2 linked regions of the Tamandua tetradactyla genome follow. The protein of the gene in region 2 purifies or fractionates together with the protein of the main gene of each other region. This does not show direct contact. Links are inferred from orthologs where the notes say so. Each region holds a gene or a part of one and is shown on either strand. Other genes may lie near its edges. The genes, in order: ANKRD54 and LYN.

Region 1 (9,400 bases), on a different chromosome or scaffold from region 2:
TGCATCAATTCAGAAAAAGAAAAAGACAACAGAAAAAAAATTCATACATTCCATACCTTTTACCTCTTCCATTCATTGGTCACTAGCATTTCAATCTACTAAATTTATTTTGACATTTGTTCCCCTTATTATTTATTTATTGTTTATCCATATGTTTTACTCATCTGTCCATAAAGTAGATAAAAGAAGCATCAGACACAAGGTTTTCACAATCATACAGTCACATTGCAAAAGCTGTATCATTATACAATCTTCTTCAAGAAATATGGCTACTGGAACACAGCTCTACATTTTCAGGCAGTTCCCTCCAGCCTCTCTATTACATCTTGACTAACAAGGTGATACCTATTTAATGAGTAAGAATAACCTCCAGGATAACCTCTCCACTCTGGAGTCTCTCAGTCATTGACATTTTGTCTCATTTCTCTCTTCCCCCTTTTGGAAGAGAAGGTTTTCTCAATCCCTTCCTGCTGAGTTCCAGCTCATTCTAGGATTTCCTAACTGCATCTTAACTTGTATTCTTTCTTTCATCATAAACATTTAAGGTTCTTGTCCTTGCCCACAAATATTCACTCATTCTAAAAACACAAGGCCCTCTCTCTGTAATCTAAAAGAACAATTCTTGAATTGTTAAAAATATAATTCTCATGTTTATATCTTTTTCATTAATTTTATTTTATAATTTCCAAGATTTGAAAACATTCCATATAGCAACGACTCCTGCTTCTACCCTCCCCGTAGCCTGGTAACCCTTAATCTTCTTTCTGTTCTCTGCTATTTCTAAATATTTCATATAAGTGAAATCACAATATTTGTCCTCATGTGCCTTGCTTATTTTGCTGAGCATAATGCTGTCAAGGTCTGTCCATGTCATAGCGTGTCTCAGAATTTCATTCCTTCTTACAGCTGAATAATACTCCGTTGTAGGTATGTACCATATTTTATTTATCCATTCTTCTATTAATGGACACTGGGTTGTTTCTGCCTTTTGGCTATAGTGAATACTGCTGCTGTGAACATTAGTGTATGAATATCTGTTTAAGTCCCTGTTTTCAATGAACATTAGTGTACGAATATCTGTTTAAGTCCCTGTTTTCAATTTCCTTGGGTATATACCTCGGAGTGGAATTTGCCAAATCATATACCAATTCTCCATTTAACTTTTTGAGGAAATGCCATACTGCTTTCTACAGTGACAGTACCATTTTACCTTCCCATCATTTTCTATATTTTGATTGGGTTGGTAGGTACAGGAGTGTATATATTTGTCAAAAATCATTGACCTGAACACTTAAAATGTGAAGGTGTTATCATATGTATGTATTTTATGCTTGAATAAATTTGACTTTTCAATTATAAGTAAAATTGACAACAAACGAACCAAAAATTATTTTAGAACTTATATGATAGACAAAAAATATATACTCTTAATAAATTAAAATATAATTCTATCACAAATAGAGAGTGTGCACATAGTAGAGCTTATTTAATCCTTAAAGGAACCAACAGTGTGACAGAGCTGGCTCGAAAAGAATTTGAGGATGGATAGTTATTGAGCAAAGAAAAGCTGTTAGATTGCTAAGTTAGATCCAAACTTAAATCATGGTCTAAGGGCAATAAAATTGTAAACATTGGGATTATCTTCTCCGTTGGAAAAATAAACATCATTGTACCTTATCCATTTTCTTCAAGTTAACCTCTAACTTTACGAAATTCTAAGACAATTCTTGGTCTAAATCAAGTGTTAATCAAAGTTAAGTTTTCCCCAGAGAGTCTGATGTCTCTTACCTGGCCTTATTAAAAAATGCTCTAGCACAATATTAAAAATGCTCAAGCCCAATATTTAAAATCACAGGATCCCCATTCGCTATATTTTCAGATATTAGGTAATTTCCCCACACACTAGTTTTCATTATACTACTTTTAATAAAGACAGAACTATTTTAATTTCCTGTTAACTCTACTTAAAAACAACAGCCAAGTATGACAATAAATAGCAATTGTCTTCAGCCTCGGCGTGGCAATAATAGGGAGTAGTGGGGACTCTAGCAAACCAGCGCACCATGCCCACTCAAAGGGGAGAGTTGCTATGCAGCTCCAGCAACTGTTGCCAAGTAGGAAAGCAGGCCTTGCTTTGCCAGAGATTCCCATTTCTAAGAGAACCTGTAAGTCAATATTTTTTTCTGTAAAAGCTATCAATCTTTAAATGCTGACAAGCAGTTCAAATTTCTGAACAGGTCGATAGGGTTTGGGAAAGAAAGAATGAAAGGAAACTCAACCAGCTATTTCTAGCCTAAGGGGCCAAAGATGTCAATATCTGACCTAAAAATAACCCTGTCAGATGGTAAGACTGAGGCCCAGAGAGGAAGACCTTGCCCAAGTCACAAAGTGGCAGATTGGACTTGGATTCCCAGGCAGGCAAAGACTTTTTTTTTTATTTGAGGTTATTATTTATTACCTATTAAATAATGCAATTTTTATTGGTAGGGTAGCTAGGGTTTGAAACTGGTTCTAATGTTTTTTTTTAATTTATTAATTAAAAAATTAAGAAACAAAATAAAACATCAACATACATAATTCACATCATCACTTAGTTGCATATTCATCATTTCTTAGAACATTTGCATTAATTCAGAAAAAGAAATTAAAAGACAATAGAAAAAGAAATAAAGCGAACACAGAAAAGAAAAAAAAAGATTATACCTACTATACCCTTTACCCCTCGCTTTCATTGATCACTAGCATTTCAAACTAAATTTATTTTAGCATTTGTTCCCCCTATTATTTATTTTTGTTCCATATGTTCTACTCCTTTGTTCACAAGGTAGCTAAAAGGAGCATCAGACACAAGGTTTTCACAATCACACAGTCACATTGTGAAAGCTGTATCATTATTCAATCATCCTCAAGAGACCTGGCTACTGGAACACAGCTCTACATATTCAGGCAGTTCCCTCCAGCCTCTCCATTACATCTTGAATAACAAGATGATATCTACTTGATGCATAAGAATAACCTCCAGGATAACCTCTCGACTCTGTTTGGAATCTCTCAGCCATTGACACTTTGTCTCATTTCCCTCTTCCCCCTTTTGGTCGAGGTTTTCTCAATCCCTTGATGCTAAATCTCAGCTCATTCTAGGGTTTTTTTCAATCCCTTGATGCTGAGTCTCAGCTTATTCCAAGATCTCTGTCCCTCGTTGCCAGGGAGGCCCACAAGACAATGTTACTGGTATTTTCTTTGTCTCCTATTAGGTGCTTTATGTTTTATTTGCTGACTGACCAAATATAAATGGCTCGTGTGTGAATGAATGCTTGCAACACCCTCAGGGTCAAGTTCCAGCCAGTGTGATGTGCCCACTGTCATGTAGGATTTGTATGGTCTTAGCCAGCATCCTACCCTTATTAGTACATAAGGTACATGTACATAACGTTTGTTCCTTTCCTCTGTTTCCTTCTAGCTACAAATAGGGTTGGATTTTGTCTTTACTGATTATGGGGCAGAGGAGAGTTCAAGTTCCAGTCTGAAACTCTGAGGCTAATGAACGGAATCCACACTCAAACACAGCTCATTCTTCCCATTCCAACATTCAAGTAATTCCTGCAACAGATGGAGGGCTGGGCCATGCGGTTTATGCCTCCACAAATTTGACTTTAAATTAGAAGTAAAATTAACAACCACCTCTGTTTGTTCAGGGATCCTGCTTAGATTCAAAGTTTTCTGCTGAAGCAAACATCTTGGTAGGCAAGATGGTGTGGAGATCAATCTTTCTCCTCTTGATAGGAGAAAGAAAACAGTTCCAAAAATAATTGGATCCAAATTAGGAAGGGTCTTAACTACCAGCATAAAGGGTTTAGACTTCAACCTGAACTCAGTGGGCAAACAAGTTTCTAGGAACTTGAAGAGATTTGCCAATTTAGGCAGCATAGATACTTGTCATTTGAGATTCTAAGAAGAGAGAATGGAGGGAAGACTGTTTTGAAGGTCATTACTTGGAAAAAGAGGAGGAATAATAAAGTTTTTTTCAGGGGTACATTCATCAGGAGTGAGGTGTAAATGCTCAGATATCACTTAGACTTCCTGGAGTCAGGTTTCCTGCAGGCTCTTCATTTATGAAAGAGGGGAGTGTGGCCTTGGGCGGTGGTCTGGATTCAAATGCCACTTTTAACTGTCTTGCTCTGTACCCTTGTACAGTTCACATAATATTTCAGGGCCTCAGTTTTCTGATCTGCAAAGTGGATATAATAATATCTAAATGTATATCAAGCCCTTGGTAAATGGTATATGTTCAATAATATTTGTTTCTTGCCTGTTTCCTTCTAGCTACAAGTGGAGTTGGCATGTGTCCTTACTTGTTATCGGACAGAGGAGGAGAGTTCAAATATACTATTTTTCTACAATGATAATTCTCATAACGGTGTCCCGCAGACACTACAAAATCTGGAAGTGCTTTTTTCAACTGTCAGGAAGATTACTTTTTAATTGGGTTGGCTGACAGTGAGAGGGTTTATGTGGTGGGAAAAGTCCTTGACCCAAGAACGCTGGGCATCCGTGAACAGGCCACTTGTCTCTGTGATTTTGTAGTGGGGCGCACCCTTACAATTTCAGTTCTTCATCTATAAAATAGGGAGGTTCCTCCTTGCCCACCTTACAGAAGTGTTTGCGGGGCACAAAGACGTGAGAATTCTTCCAAAACAGTAATGGTAAATTCACGGTTATCTGTCTGGTTGCAGAACACTTCCTTGCTCCCGGATTTGTCCCTGGGGACCGTGAGCAGCTCAGTGGGCACCAAGTCTGATCCTGTGTCCTGGACGTGCAGCCGCTCTGTGACCGACTCTCGGACTGAAGTGTCGCTGTAGTGTCATTACGTTAATTATAACGCTTTGTAAATCATTAGTGATCAACGCGCGGGGGGGGGGGGCGAGAGACCGCAGACTAAAGAGAATCTATCACCCTTAGAAACTATTACTCCACAGCCCCACATTTTGACATACTTTCACTTTCCTTCTTGGACCACGCATTGGGAAGAAGTTCTTTTTCTACGTTCACACTCCCTCCCTCCCCGCCTTCTTATCTTTCTTTGGTGAATGGCTGCTGCTCATCTAAATGTAATTGGCTCCAGCCCCTTCCCACTGTCTTTCCCATAATCCGACGGGGGAAAATTGAAGAAAAAAAAAAGAATGTCTTAGACTCTGCTGTTTTATTGGCTCCGGTAGCGACGTACGTACGCGTGGACCGTGGGCACTTCAAATTTTTTATTGGTTTCTTTGTCCGCCAGTCACAGTGCCAGAAACACTGTCCAATCCTTTCGTGCGTACTATGCCCTCCCTTCCCGATTGGCTGTCAGGGTTTAGGCTGGAAGGGCTATCATTGGTCCGGAAGACCCGAGCTCGTCCCCCGCTGAGGTGCGGTAGTTGCAGGCCGGGCCCGGTCTTCTGGCTCACTCGCTGACAGCGCGGCTTACGGCGGAGGGAAGTGGGTCGGTTGGTCTGTCGGGAACGAGGCTCCCGCGGCTAGGCCCGCGCAGAACCGTTACCATGGCAGCAGCCGCAGGGGGCGCGGAAGATGAGCCGCGCTCGGGCAGATCGAGCTCGGATGGCGAGTGTGCGGTAGCCCCGGAGCCTCTGACTGGTCCCGATGGCCTCTTCTGCTTCGCCGACTTCGGGGCGGCGCTGGGCGGCAGCCCGGGCCTCCCAAGTCGGTCGTCCAGCGGGGCCCAGTCCCCGCTGCGCTACCTGCACGTCCTGTGGCAGCAAGACGCGGAGCCTCGCGACGAGCTGTGCTGCAAGATGCCCGCCGGCCGGCTGAGGCGCGCCGCCAGGCCCCACCGCCGGCTCGGGCCCACCGGCAGGGAAGTCTACGGTGAGGAGCGGAGCGGGCTGGCGGAGCGCGAGGCAGGCGGCCCGTCCATGCCCCCCGCCCCTCCCCGGTACCCGGGACCCTGGCCTTCCCCGTCACTCGCAGCCTGGAACTCCGGGACGCCCGGGCTAAGGCCAGAATGACCCTAGCGCCTCCTTTCAATAACTGTTATTATAGTTGCTAAGGACCACGAATTTTTTTTTTTAATGTCTTACTTCTCCTAGCCTGTCATCACTGACCTTCACACTTGGTAGTTCCTAAGTAGAAACTTTCATGACCCCAAGTATTTATTAGTGGGCAATAAAAGGGAATACCAGAGAATACTTTTATTATCAGAGAGGGGAGGCCAGAGCTCGTAACCAAGTGGTACCCAGTTGTTTAGATGTGCAGACCTGGGATGGACTCCTCTACCTTAGGCAAACTGTTGAGCCTTTCAGCCTTAGTGTTCTCATTTGTACAGTGTGTACAATACCTGCTTTACAGGGCTATTGTGAGAGTTCAGTTAAATAATGAATGTATAACCATTAGACCTCCTTTGCTGTGTTCCAGACACTGTTTTGGGTGATATGGGGTAATTTTTAATTCTCACAGTAATTCTTTGAGATCCAGATATTGTTCCCATTTTATTGAAGAGGAAACCAAGGCACAGTGACATTGTTTTGCTCCAGGTCCTTAGCCAGAAAGAGGCTGGGCTGGTATTAGAACCCTGGTCTGCTTGACTCTAAAACTCCTACTTTGCTGTATATTTACCATACTAGCTTTTACATTTAATGGCTGACAGGGAAACCAAGACTCTGAAAGATTAAGAATGGGGCTTCTTGTGTCCCCTTTAGGACTAATCTGTGATTCCACCGATATTTTAGGGGTCTTGTGAAGATTAATTGAGAATTTGAAAGTTCTGTAAAACCATAAAGTGCTATAGGAATGTAAGGAATTTTTAACCACTTCCCTGATGACAAAGCTATTGCTTTCTACTAGCCTCTAAATAGAGTTGGTGTCAAGGGAGGGGAAAAATGCTTTTGCTTAAGAATGACCAAGTTTAGGTAAGTCATTTGGGAGTGACCTATTTTGGAGGAAGTATAATAAGAAGATCTGTGTAACTAGCTCAGAAAGAGCTTCTAAGTAAATTATCTATGTCATTTCATCTTTCCAACAATTCAAGACTGGCAGGGTCGAACTTAACCTTGTTTTAGAGATGATGGACCTGAGACCCAGAAGGGTTAACTAAACTTGCCCAAGTTCACCTCACTACTATAAATGGCAGAGCCAAGATCCAGAGGCCTTGGAGGATTTGCCAAGCATGCGGCCTCTACCCTAGTGCCACATTTCAAGTTTCTCCTTGTTCCCAGTGTAGTATCTCTTGTAGCTAGCAGTTTTCTTCCCTTTAGGTGCTATTATGGCTGAAGAGTGGATTATCTCCCATCCACTTTCTGCTTCATCACACCTGTTTTGTTTTTTTTTTAACTGGAATTCCTTTACTCTTGTCATAGCTCTGAAGAGGCTCCGGGACTCAGCCAATGCCAATGACGTGGAAACAGGTGAGTGTGCACATTGGGCCTAGCTCCAAGGACCTGTGGACTGGTTTGGGGAAGGAAAAATCCAATTAACACATTACCTGAGAAGAGAGTGCTTTAATTCAGCCTACCAGGTTACCCCTAACTCGAGGCTCACTTTGTTTACTGTGTAACTTTGCAGTCAACTTGTAGAAGGTGAATCTGGCTTAGATGCTTAGTCCCTTATGCTCCCCTATTACCCTGAACTTCCTGATGTCATATAATTTATCACCGCTGGGCTCATTGTCTGCTTTTACACCCCTGGCTCCCAGCGCAGTCCTCCGCAGAGAGTTATTGCTCATTTTTCAACCTCTGCGTTGGGAATGAACATTCAGCTTTAACTGCCAGGGGTCGGGTAGGCAGTGCCACCACCTTTAGCCTACTCACTGAGGCTTAATGGTAGTTGGGTCGGTCCCTGGTTCTCAAACTTCAGTTGACAGAGCATTTGAAAAGCATAGGTGGAGCTCATAGCAGAACACCACTGTTGTCTGGTTTTTTTTTTTATTATTGCTCTCCAGCATCTGCCAGCTGACAAGGCAGTAGCAACATCAAAGATGCAAAGAAAATTTATAGGAAAACATTTTTTAATTTTATCCACTAATATAATTCCCTCTGTGACTTGGGGAAAGTGATATATTCGTTTCCTATTGCTGCTGTAACAAATTGCCACAAACTTAGGAACTTAAAACAATGCATTTCTTATCTTAGAATTCTGTACGTCAGAAATCCAGCACGGGTCCCACTGAGCTAAAATCAAGGTGTCTGCAGAGCTGCATTCCTTTCTGGAGGCTCAAGGGAAAAATGTTTTCCTGCCATTTCCAGCTTGTCCTAACTACCCACGTTCCTTGCTTGTATTCCTCTTCAAATCCAGTCACAGTAGGCTGAGCCCTTCTCATGCCATCTTTCTGGTTCTGGCAGCAGAGACAGTTTCTCCAGTTTTAGGGACTCTGTGATTAGATTGGGCTCACCTAGAGAATTCAGAATAATCTTCCTATCTCCAGGTCCTTAACCTTCATCACATCTGCAAAGTTCCTTTTGTCATATAAGGTAACATAATCACAGATTCTGGGAGTTAGGGCATGGACATCTTTGGGGCCACTATTCTGCCTACCATAAATGGACATCATTCTGTTTTGATGGTGGGGAGCTATGCTCACGTAAAATCTGAGCATAGACTGAAGGCCATGGGCTAGAAGAGCTCACTGAGAGCAGGTGTGGAAGGAGGTCATGGGTGTTGCCCCACGGGCCCTTGAGATGGTTCCCCTATCCTGCCGTAGCAGCAGTGAACGTGCCCTAAACTGGAGAGATTTTTAACTCTTTTCACTGTTTTCTATGAACATTTTGGAATGTTTGGGAAGCAACTTAGATAGCTTTTCAAGAAAGAGGAAGAAGAATTTTCTTTTTAATTTTTTAAAAAATTATTATTTTTTTTAACAAACAAATACTTCCCCTTTCCCCAGCCTTTCAGCCCTTGGTAACCTCTAATCTGTTTTCTGTCTCTGTGAATTTGCTATATTTCTAGCCATCTCTTATAAGTGATACCATACAATTGTTTGTCCTTATTATCTCGCTTATTTCACCGAGCATAATGATTTTAAGGTTCTTCCATGTCTCATAACTTCAAGTTTACTTATGACTGAATAATAGTCTATTGTAGATATACACCATATTTTGTTTATCTGTTCATCTGTGAAGGATGTTTGGGTTTTTCTAGCTTTTGGCTATTGTGAATAAGGCTACTATAAACATTGGTTTACAAGATCTGTTTGTGACCCTGTTTTCACTCTCTTTGGTTATATACCTAAAGGTGGGAGTGCCAGGTCAAATGGTAGTTCTATATTTAAAAGCCATATTGCTTTCCAGTGTTATTTGCTGTTCCCACCAATAACGCACTAGAGTTAAGCAGTCTCTTTTTAGTATCTCTAGTGTATGGCCAGGGAATATGTTTAATTGTGCCCACCTTCCACAGAAAGTCTAGTTTGTCTTGA
Region 2 (9,201 bases):
TAGAAGACAGTGGGGAAAGAGTTGAAGAGGGGAGTTAGAGAAAGGAGATTGGAAATATACTGAGGATGAATAAAGTACAATGAAATAAACACTTTGGAAGAGTTCTATACAAATGAAAACTATATCCTAAAGATAAATACAAACTTTCAAGAAATAGCTCCATGGTAAAAAAAGGAATGCTGACAGCTTATTCAGTAATAAGGGAAAATGGAAAGTACAGACCAACAATGAAGAAAAAGATCAAAACGAAAAAGCTCAAAAGCTTATACCTCTAGCCTCCTATATTCTGGAGCCGCTAGAAGGAAAAATCTGAGATGATGGTATGGCAGCCCATGACAAACTCTGAGTTCTGTCCTGTAACTATTTGTTGAAGAGTGCTTTGAAAACTATTGGTTTTTTCTTTCCTTGCTTTATATGTATGCTATATGATACAATTAAAGAAAGTAAAAAAATAAAATAAAATAAAAAACTTATACCCCTTGACACTTGTCAGCTCAGCTGAGCCTTTCAAACACATTATCCCACATAGTTATGAAACTTGCTGTTCTATCTTTGAAGAGAGCCCTTCCAGTTAAATTAACCCAAAGGATATCTAAATAAAGGTCCAAATCTTTAAACTAACCTATCCCAAATTTTCCAATTCTTCAACTGGCAGATTTTCATATAACATTTTCTACAGTTGGGCTTTGTCCCAAATTGGGAACTAACTCAAAATAAATTTCAGAAATAATGATAGAGTGAACTCAAAGTTTCACAATTTAAATGCCAGGAAACAAGGCAGCTGCAAGAAATCTTTCAATATTTCTGACTGAAAAAACAAACAAACAAAACTTCCTCTTCCTTATCCTTGTCTTGTGGAAGGGCTATGGGCTCAGAACTGCACCTTATGGGGAGCAGATGCTCAGAAAACAGTGCGTGTTTTCATGTGCATTCTATGAGCCCTAGGTTCTTTATATTTTTCACTTCACATCATGGTCTTCCTGGTATTATACCCACCCATAACGATCTCAGGTCCATGAAGGAGGAATTTCTAGTAAAGGTTTGAAGGCAAAATTGCAAAATATGGCTTCGGCCAACCAAGCAGTCCAAGAGCTGCTCCTACAAAAGCAAGATAATGAACTTTTAGCCATAATCAAAGCTCCCTGCCCCGCAAACAGGAAGCAGAGCCAAAGGCACAGAAAGTCTTCTCCAAAAGACAGCTGAGCATCCTCATGCATGGAACTGTCTGTTGTGGGTCTTGGCATTAGCTGCTTGTTTCGATAATTACCAGTCAATAGAAGAAATCACCTAGATTTCAAGTCTGCCTTGAAAATGCTTACACTGTTGTACATGTTACTGCATAATTTTTTTAAAACACTTATTAAAGATAAGTTAGTTCCTCTTTGTTTTTAAGTTACTGAGTCCTTACTTCGGAGTCTAAAGGTAAGCAAGTGGGAAAAGCTCTAACGTTGGGGCCAGAAGACGTTTCTATCACTTGATTCCGTGCCACTGAACCAGGCCTGTGATCCTGACCCACAATCTCCCTGTCCAGCAGGGGCCAGGAAATGTTCAAGTGAAACCGAACTCCAGGAAGCTTCAGAGCCCCTGGCAGGCGAAAGGGTTAGCCCATCATCACTAAGGAGAGGTCTGAGATGCAGCGCTGTTGTCAGACAGGTCACTAACCAATGTCACGACCGATACTGTCCGTGAGCCTTTAATATTAATCCTAATACTGAGTATATGGAGGCAATTGAGATAATCAGTACCCATGAGCCTAAGTGTTCCAGGATGTGTGAATGTACACGTTGTATTCTCTGTGCACAGATTTAAAATTCATGTAAGTTTGTTAACAAATAATATGTTTTCATTTGGTTCTGTATATTAACCTGAACCAAATGGAACCCCAAATGTTTTGATGATTTATTTTTTAATACAAAATGCACTTCATGGAATACATACATATATAGAATACAAACATATATACGACTTGGAAGTCATAAAACTGTTGAACCACTTTGCTGCTTAAAGGGAGCCACTGGAGATGGTGGAGGTGGGGGCACACGACAAAGTCTCCACACACCTTTGGAATATCAATGACTACAAGATCAAGTGGGTCTTTTTGACTGGATAACCCCACCTTTGCAGGACACACCCCCAAATCAAGACCTTCCTTCTGGTGGATCAAGAGAGACGAGCCCTGAGTAGAGATTCCCACTTGTAGTAGAATTTGAGGTAACTTAGAGTCAACAGGTCCCCCAAATTCCCATTTTAGAAACAAGACAGAAAGGGCCAAGAGACTAAGGATGCCTTAAGGAGCAGCCTATTCACCCGTCCCCATGTGTCCTTGACCTTGCTTGAGGCAGGCCCTTCATTCCTTCTTTCAAGCCATCCCTATTGTGTACCCAATGTGTGCAGGGCACCAGGACAAAACAAATGTCACTCCTCCTTCCATGGAGCTTCCACATGAAAACAAACCATGAGGTGGCTTTGGTTCCCACCATGAGGGAAATGTTGGCTAATTAATGACACAACCTATTTATCCCAAATCACAGTTCCAGCAACGCTGGATGAGACCAAATCTCAGTTTCCTGGCTCCAGTTTTCTTTTCATTTATAACAGCTCCCCTCTACCCTTTAACCAGAAAGAGAGATCCCCACCCTACATCCAAAGAGGATCAGCCATTAAGGGCCCCAGTCATAAAATTACTTTTCTTCAAGCCTCAAAACACATAGTGCCCAGTGAAAACCAAGGCACTGACTGATTCTCGCCCTTCCCCAGCAAAGTACACCTTAGAATGGACTTGAGTCCTTAGTAAGCTCCTTTACTCTCCCAGTGCCTGCTAGGAGTTGGCCCTGCTTTAGCTGCTGACAGTACAGGAAGAGCTTCCTTGCCTCCTGTACATGACCTCTGCTGGGGGCAAACAACAAACAACAAGCTAAGTCAGCCTTCTTTACTGGCTAGTTCTTAGAGCATCAGATTCCTGGTTCCTGCATTGGGACAGCAAATCCTTTATTGTTTTAAGCAAATATTTTGGGAGAGCAAAGTCTCAGCATGGAAGATGATGGGTACATCGGAAGAGACCTTGGTTTAAAACCGCCAAACTGTAAAGATCCAAAGAGCCTCATTTTTACAGACATATTTATTTCCAATAAGTAGTAATAACCATGCCACCTTATGGAATGCATACTGGGTACGAGGGGCTTTATGCTCCATAGTTCAGGCGGTAGATGGTTTCCTCTGACAGATGAGGAAACCAACAGGGAATTTCAATAATGACTCCAGTTCACCCACAGCTAGGAAACTGCAACGCCCGCATTCCAGGCTTCTGAGATGGCAAAGAAGTTGGGAGGATTTGGGATAATTAAGACTCGCACTCCGGATATCCAAAGAAATTCCACTGGACCACGCGGCTATGACATGGGCCCCTCCAGATGCAAAGCCTCCGACAGTCCGCCAAGATAACAAACGACAGTAGGAACCGATGCTTACACCCTTCCCCCAAGGCGAGGAAAGCAACCCCTGAATTCTTAAAATAACCATCCGCTTCCTCCCTAACGAGGCATGGGGCTGCCCATCTGCAGGCGGAGAGGCATCGGTTCAGTGGGAGGGCGCGCAGTAGCTCCGCAGAAGCCCCTGGACGTCCCGCTCCTCCCCGGAGTCACCAAGGAAGCAACTGCCCAGGCGGCCTGGGAGGGGGCGGGCAGGTCGAGGCTCTCCTCTTACCTTTAGAGACCCGGGACCCAGCGGGGAAACCCGATCACGGCATCCGAGAAGTCCCCGCCAGGGTCCCACGCGCGCGCCCGGCCCTCGTGGAGAGGAGGAGACGCTTGCGGCGCGCAGATAGTGGCTGGACAGGGGACAGCAAGCGCCCCCTCCACCCCCATGCCCGGTGCGCGCGCCCACCCTGCGCGCAGGACCTCCCACCACGCCCCTACGCTGCTCGGCTGCAAGACACCTGCCGAGAGCCCGCCCACGTACTGGATCCCCGCCGGGCCACACCACCCACAGATTGACGGCATCTCGGGGCCCCTCACCGGCAGGGCCCCACTCCCGTGGCCCTCTTCGCTGCCCACGCCCGCGATTCCCTTGCGGTGTACTCACCTGCTCGCGGTGCAAGTTGCGAGGCTGCAGCGGCAGCGGCGGAACTCCACGGTGACCCGGCCGCGGAGCGGGGACGCGACGGGGCGGCCCGGCCCGGCCCGCGTGGGGAGGGCGGCGGGCCGGGGCGAGGAGGCGGGAGAGGGGCGCGCGGGTCTGGCGGAGATGACGCCGGACCCCGGTACTGCGGGCTGAAAACTACGGCGCGTCTGGCCCTGAGGCGCCACGGCGGGGAGTGAGCGGCTGCGAGGCCCGGCGCGGCGGCAGAGGAACTGGCTGTCGCTGGGCTTGGCCGAGAGGTCCCAGGGACTTCCTGGTGCTCGGATTTGCATACTGCTCCCGGAGGGCGGGGAAGTGACCGTTTGGCCCCTGCCCAAAGTTTGGGTCTTTGGTGCGGCTGTCGCGCAGTGCTTTAAAGGCAAAGAAACCTGGTGTTCCAGGGCGCAGCTAAGGAGGTTAGAACTTCTCCCTGGAATTAGACAGAAGCAGCTTTCAGGGACCTCGTTTGGAGAGCGGGACTCTGGCTTTGTGGGCACATCCAGGGAACCTCTCGCCTCCTTCCTTTCCCCCCAGCCTACTCTCCGAGGTGCTCCTGGGAACAGATGGGGCGCTTTCTGAACCTTCCCAACATTTGCAGCTCTCTAGAAAAGGATGAGATGTGCTCAGGACTCAGTGAATCTTACTCCACACAGAGTAAGCCCCTTGAGGCTGTACACAGAGGCGTCACATTTTGCGGGAGAAGAAGGAGTTTCTGAAGTTAAATTAACTGGCGAGTTGCTCAGCTCCTCAAAGCCTCAGTTTCCTCAAGGGAAAACGGAGGCAAGAATGCCTAGCGCTCAGTTACCGGGACGATGAAATGCCTTACGCCAAGGGCTTGCTCTGTGATAATTTCATTGCCACTGTCTGCATGGGAGCATATAGCACCACCGTCCTTGGCACACAGCTGATGCCTAACCAATGTTTGCTGAAAGAACGACTGCCTTTCTAAACTCAGAGTTCACCTCAGCAAATGCCATTTACAAATCAAGATGTGAGATTTGTCTCCATCATAGTCCATGTTATAAGCGGTATTTCATTCCTTAGGATCCCTCGATTGCACTACATTGTAGAATTTTCAAGGAAATATATTGGAGAAATGGATCTTTGCATTTATAATAGCAAACACTTACATAGCGCCTAATGGACTCCATACAAAGTCCAAAGCATGTTGGACATACTACCTTCTCTCCTTCACGGTGTTCTCAAGAGACTGGCCCCACGGGAGAATGTGGTAGAGTAGAACACCCTGAAACACAGTCTACACAGCAGTCATTGGTTACTAATAAGAAAGTACTAAGGTTTGCAAACTACTTTCTTACAAGAATAAAAAGAAGTTGCTGATAGGTCTGATGTTCACTGGTAGGCAGTTCAGTTTGTTGCCCACTAAAGAGAAGGGGTGGAGTCACCCTTGGGAAGGTGTTGAACATTGAATGAAATCTATGATGGATTCTTAGCAATTCACTACTCAGGGGTTCATTTCTAGACTTCCTCCAAAATGACCTCTTAAAATATTGGCCCCAAATTAAAATGTTTACATAAGGGAATCTTATCAGTGAGTCCTTGAGATTCTTTGGCTAAAGGCATGTGGCAAGCAAGAATAGAGTACACAAATGTTAGGCTTTGGTTGATCTCCCTGGAATGTCCTGTCGTCTCTGGTAAAATGTGTCTTAGAGTGAAGACGAAAGCATCCTCAGACAGATGCAGGCTTGCACCCAGCTCCAACACTTCTAATTCCTTGTACTTGAGGATCCTAGCTGAGCTCAGCTCTTTCTTCTTACCTGGGGGGAGGGGGTGCGTCCATCCCCACCTCTCAGGCTATATTTGTGCATCCTGAACACTCCCTACCCATTTTCTATCTTCATATTTCTTCTTTGAAGTCCCATGTACATTCCATTTCTTGGAAAGTTAGATTTAAAGCCCTCATTGGTGACCTTCTTTCCAGGACACCTATTGCATTTATACTGTGCAACATTGATTTTAAGCTTGATTCAGGTGTTTCTTGGCATTGCTTGCTTTTGTTTCATGGGTCAGCCATCACCCCCCCCACTACTGGAAAATAGTCACCTCCTCTCAGGAAGACATTGTTTCTTATATTATGTTTCCCCCTGTACCTGGCAAATGTTCTGTTAGTTGCTTTAAAATTGTTATTAGTATGGATTGATCAGTTAATTGAGTAACTGATGGGTTTCAACAGTGTTCTCTAAATTGAGTACATTATGGAGGATGAACATACAGAGGGAGATTGCATATCCACCCAGGCTCCCTGGATAGGGTGAAGGTGGGGGACATCCTTTAGTAGGAAAGAAGGGGGAAGTGGCGAAAACGGCATTAGCCATTTTATATATTATATATTCTTATATATATATATATTATACATATATATACATATACATATATATATGTAGGTATTTTATTTCCCTCCTAGTGGATGATGGATATTCTTATATCCATGGATATCCATCATCCATTCATATAAGAATATCCATCATCCACTAGGAGGGAAATAAAATACCTGCCTTCAAGTACATTGTCCTTTATCATGGAGCCTGTTCTAGTTTGCTAGCTGCTGGAATGCAACACACCAGAGACAGATTGGCTTTTAATAAAAGGGGATTTATTTCATTAGTTCTTCAGAGGAAAGGCAGCTAACTTTCAACTGAAGTTCTTTCTTGTGTGGGAAGGCACAGGGCGGTCTCTGCTGGCCTTCTCTCCAGGTCTCTGGGTTCCAACAGCTTTCTCCGGGGTGATTTCTCTCTGCACTCCAAAGGCCTGGGTTGAGCTGTGAGTGCAGAGATGAGGTATGCTGAGCTTCTTGGGCTGTGCTATGTTGTGCTCTCTCATTTAAGCACCAGCCAGTTAAATCGAACATCATTCATTGGGGCAGGCACGCCTCCTAGCTGACTGCAGATGTGATCAGCAACCGATGAGGTTCACATGCCATTGGCTCATGTCCACAGCCACAGAACTAGGTACCTTCACCTAGCCAAGTTGACAACTGAATTTAATTACCACAGAGCCTCACCACCCGATGACTGTTGGCAGCATTTACAGCCAGGATGAATGATTTTGGTGCGCAATTTGGTGTTGGTCCCCAGGCACCTGGTCCTGCAGCCTTCCCCTGTGGCCACAGTGTGGCCCTTCCCTGGTGACCTGTCCTTTTGGTACCCTGCTGTGAGCCTCCCTCAAAAGGTTCTGATTTCTTGGCCCAACTCAGGAACTCCTGCAAGTTGTTTGCTGGTTGGCTTTGTGGGAGAAGTGGAGGGAATGCTGATGGAACTCTCTGCCTGACTCTTACAACCATGTGGGCCTGGCAAACCCCAGACCTATGGCCCAAGTAGCCAGTAACATAGAGTAGGATGCTCAACTGGCTCTGCAGAAGAATCTCCGGGGAGCTAAGATAGCCCCTTGCCCAGGCCAGACCGAGATCCAGTAAGTCCAAATCTCTGGGGTGGGACCTGGCATCAGAGTTTTAAATTACTCTCGGTGGTTCCGATGAACAGCCAGGATTGTGAACCCCTGGGGAAGCGCATCAATCAAACAGCCTGGGGGAATGTGGGGTATATTTACCAAGCAAATGAGTTTCAATTTATCATCAGTGTTCCTAATTAAATACAATAGAAGCCCTCTCATCTGATATACTTGGGACAGATGAAAAAAGTTGTTTTAAGTGAGGACGTCATAAAAATATTAAAAAAAAAAAAAAAAACTGTGCTAGGGACTGAATCATGTATTCCATAAAAGATATGTTCAAGTCTTAATCCATTTTCCTCTGTGTGTCAACCTATTTTTAAATAGTATCTTTGAATATGTTAAGGTGGTCAAGGTGTGGACTCATTTGTGAACAGGATCTTCCTCTTTAAAGATAGAAGGCTGAATCAGGGTTGGCCTTACTCCATATATCCATAATTGAATATGCGAGAGCAGCCAGAAATCAGAGAAAGTCATAGGAAGAGACCAACAACATGGCCATCACCAGAACTCTACCACCTCCAAGAGAAGCATGTCCTTGCTGCCTTCTTGATTTTGGACTTCTGCCTTCAAAACTGTGAGACAATAAATGCTTGGTATTGAAGCCAAGCTGTCTGTGGTATTTGTCATGGCAGCTTCGGCAAACGATGTACCTTAAACATTTTACTTGAATTTAGCTATAAGATAATTTCTTTTCCTTGCCAATCTCTCAGGTAAGGCCACTATGTTTCCTTTGAGCATTAAATCCCTAATTGACACGCTGCATCATCTTTCTTACCTGAACCACGGCCAGGATACTGCAGTTCTGTTTGCCATTCATAGCTTTGCAAAGCTATCTCACTGCTCAATCTCTGAGTCTGAAGCTTCACTCATACCTAATTCAGCAGAATTATTTGCTCTTCCATTTTACCCATGACTGTTTCCAAATCTTCAACTTTGCACAGAAACAATTTTTTCACTCATTTTAAAAGTTTCTATTTAACTCAATCACGAAATTGCCATAACAGGCACAATTGCCATAAAAACAACTGGCTTTTGGGAAAGTATGCAAGTGTTCCAGACAGTGGAGTAGTCCCTTTGCTAGAGGGCTGGAGCAGTACTTTGACAGGGGAAAGTTTGGGAAACTTCCCAAAGTTGAAGGGAAGAGGTTAATTTCTGAGGCATCCTTATTAAAGTCTCCTAATCCATCCTTACAACCACTTATAAGTATGGGTCATTTTCTACATTTTATAGATAAGAAAACAGTCTCAGAAAGTCAAATGATTGGCTCAAGTTCATCTTGCTGAAGTGGTTTGGGCTGGACTCTATCCCTTTCTGTCCGGCTGATTGTCATCAAAGTCTGGCTTTGTTACCCTTAAATCACAGTAGCTTCCCCAAGGTTTGGTTTTCTTAGGCTGAAATGCCACAGAAAAAGTTCAATGTCCCCGAAGGCAACAAAACTGAATCTCACAGAGTCCTCTGTTCTTTTACCTTACAAGGGAACGATCAAGCTAACTGAACAATAGAAAACTGAGCCAAATACTAATGATAATGCATCAATCATGTAATTAGGGCTGGAACCTTAACAAACTTGGGACAAAGCTGCACAAAATTGTGTTAATGTTAGTGGAACCAAAA

The links.
Region 1: the proteins of LYN (region 2) and ANKRD54 purify together in Homo sapiens (affinity purification with mass spectrometry; 3 studies listed by BioGRID and IntAct, with this or other methods). This does not show direct contact. The link is inferred for Tamandua tetradactyla from reciprocal best matches to the Homo sapiens genes LYN and ANKRD54.

The regions. Positions count from the first base shown.
Region 1 is NC_135333.1:30,207,106-30,216,505, reverse strand, and holds the start of ANKRD54 (ankyrin repeat domain-containing protein 54), read left to right. Parts: upstream 1-5,372; 5' UTR 5,373-5,537; coding exon 5,538-5,862; intron 5,863-5,933; exon of another isoform or gene 5,934-6,109; intron 6,110-7,349; coding exon 7,350-7,397; intron 7,398-9,400. UniProt on the Homo sapiens protein: Plays an important role in regulating intracellular signaling events associated with erythroid terminal differentiation.
Region 2 is NC_135332.1:99,478,189-99,487,389, reverse strand, and holds the start of LYN (tyrosine-protein kinase Lyn), read right to left. Parts: upstream 4,330-9,201; 5' UTR 4,081-4,329; intron 1-4,080. UniProt on the Homo sapiens protein: Non-receptor tyrosine-protein kinase that transmits signals from cell surface receptors and plays an important role in the regulation of innate and adaptive immune responses, hematopoiesis, responses to growth factors and cytokines, integrin signaling, but also responses to DNA damage and genotoxic agents.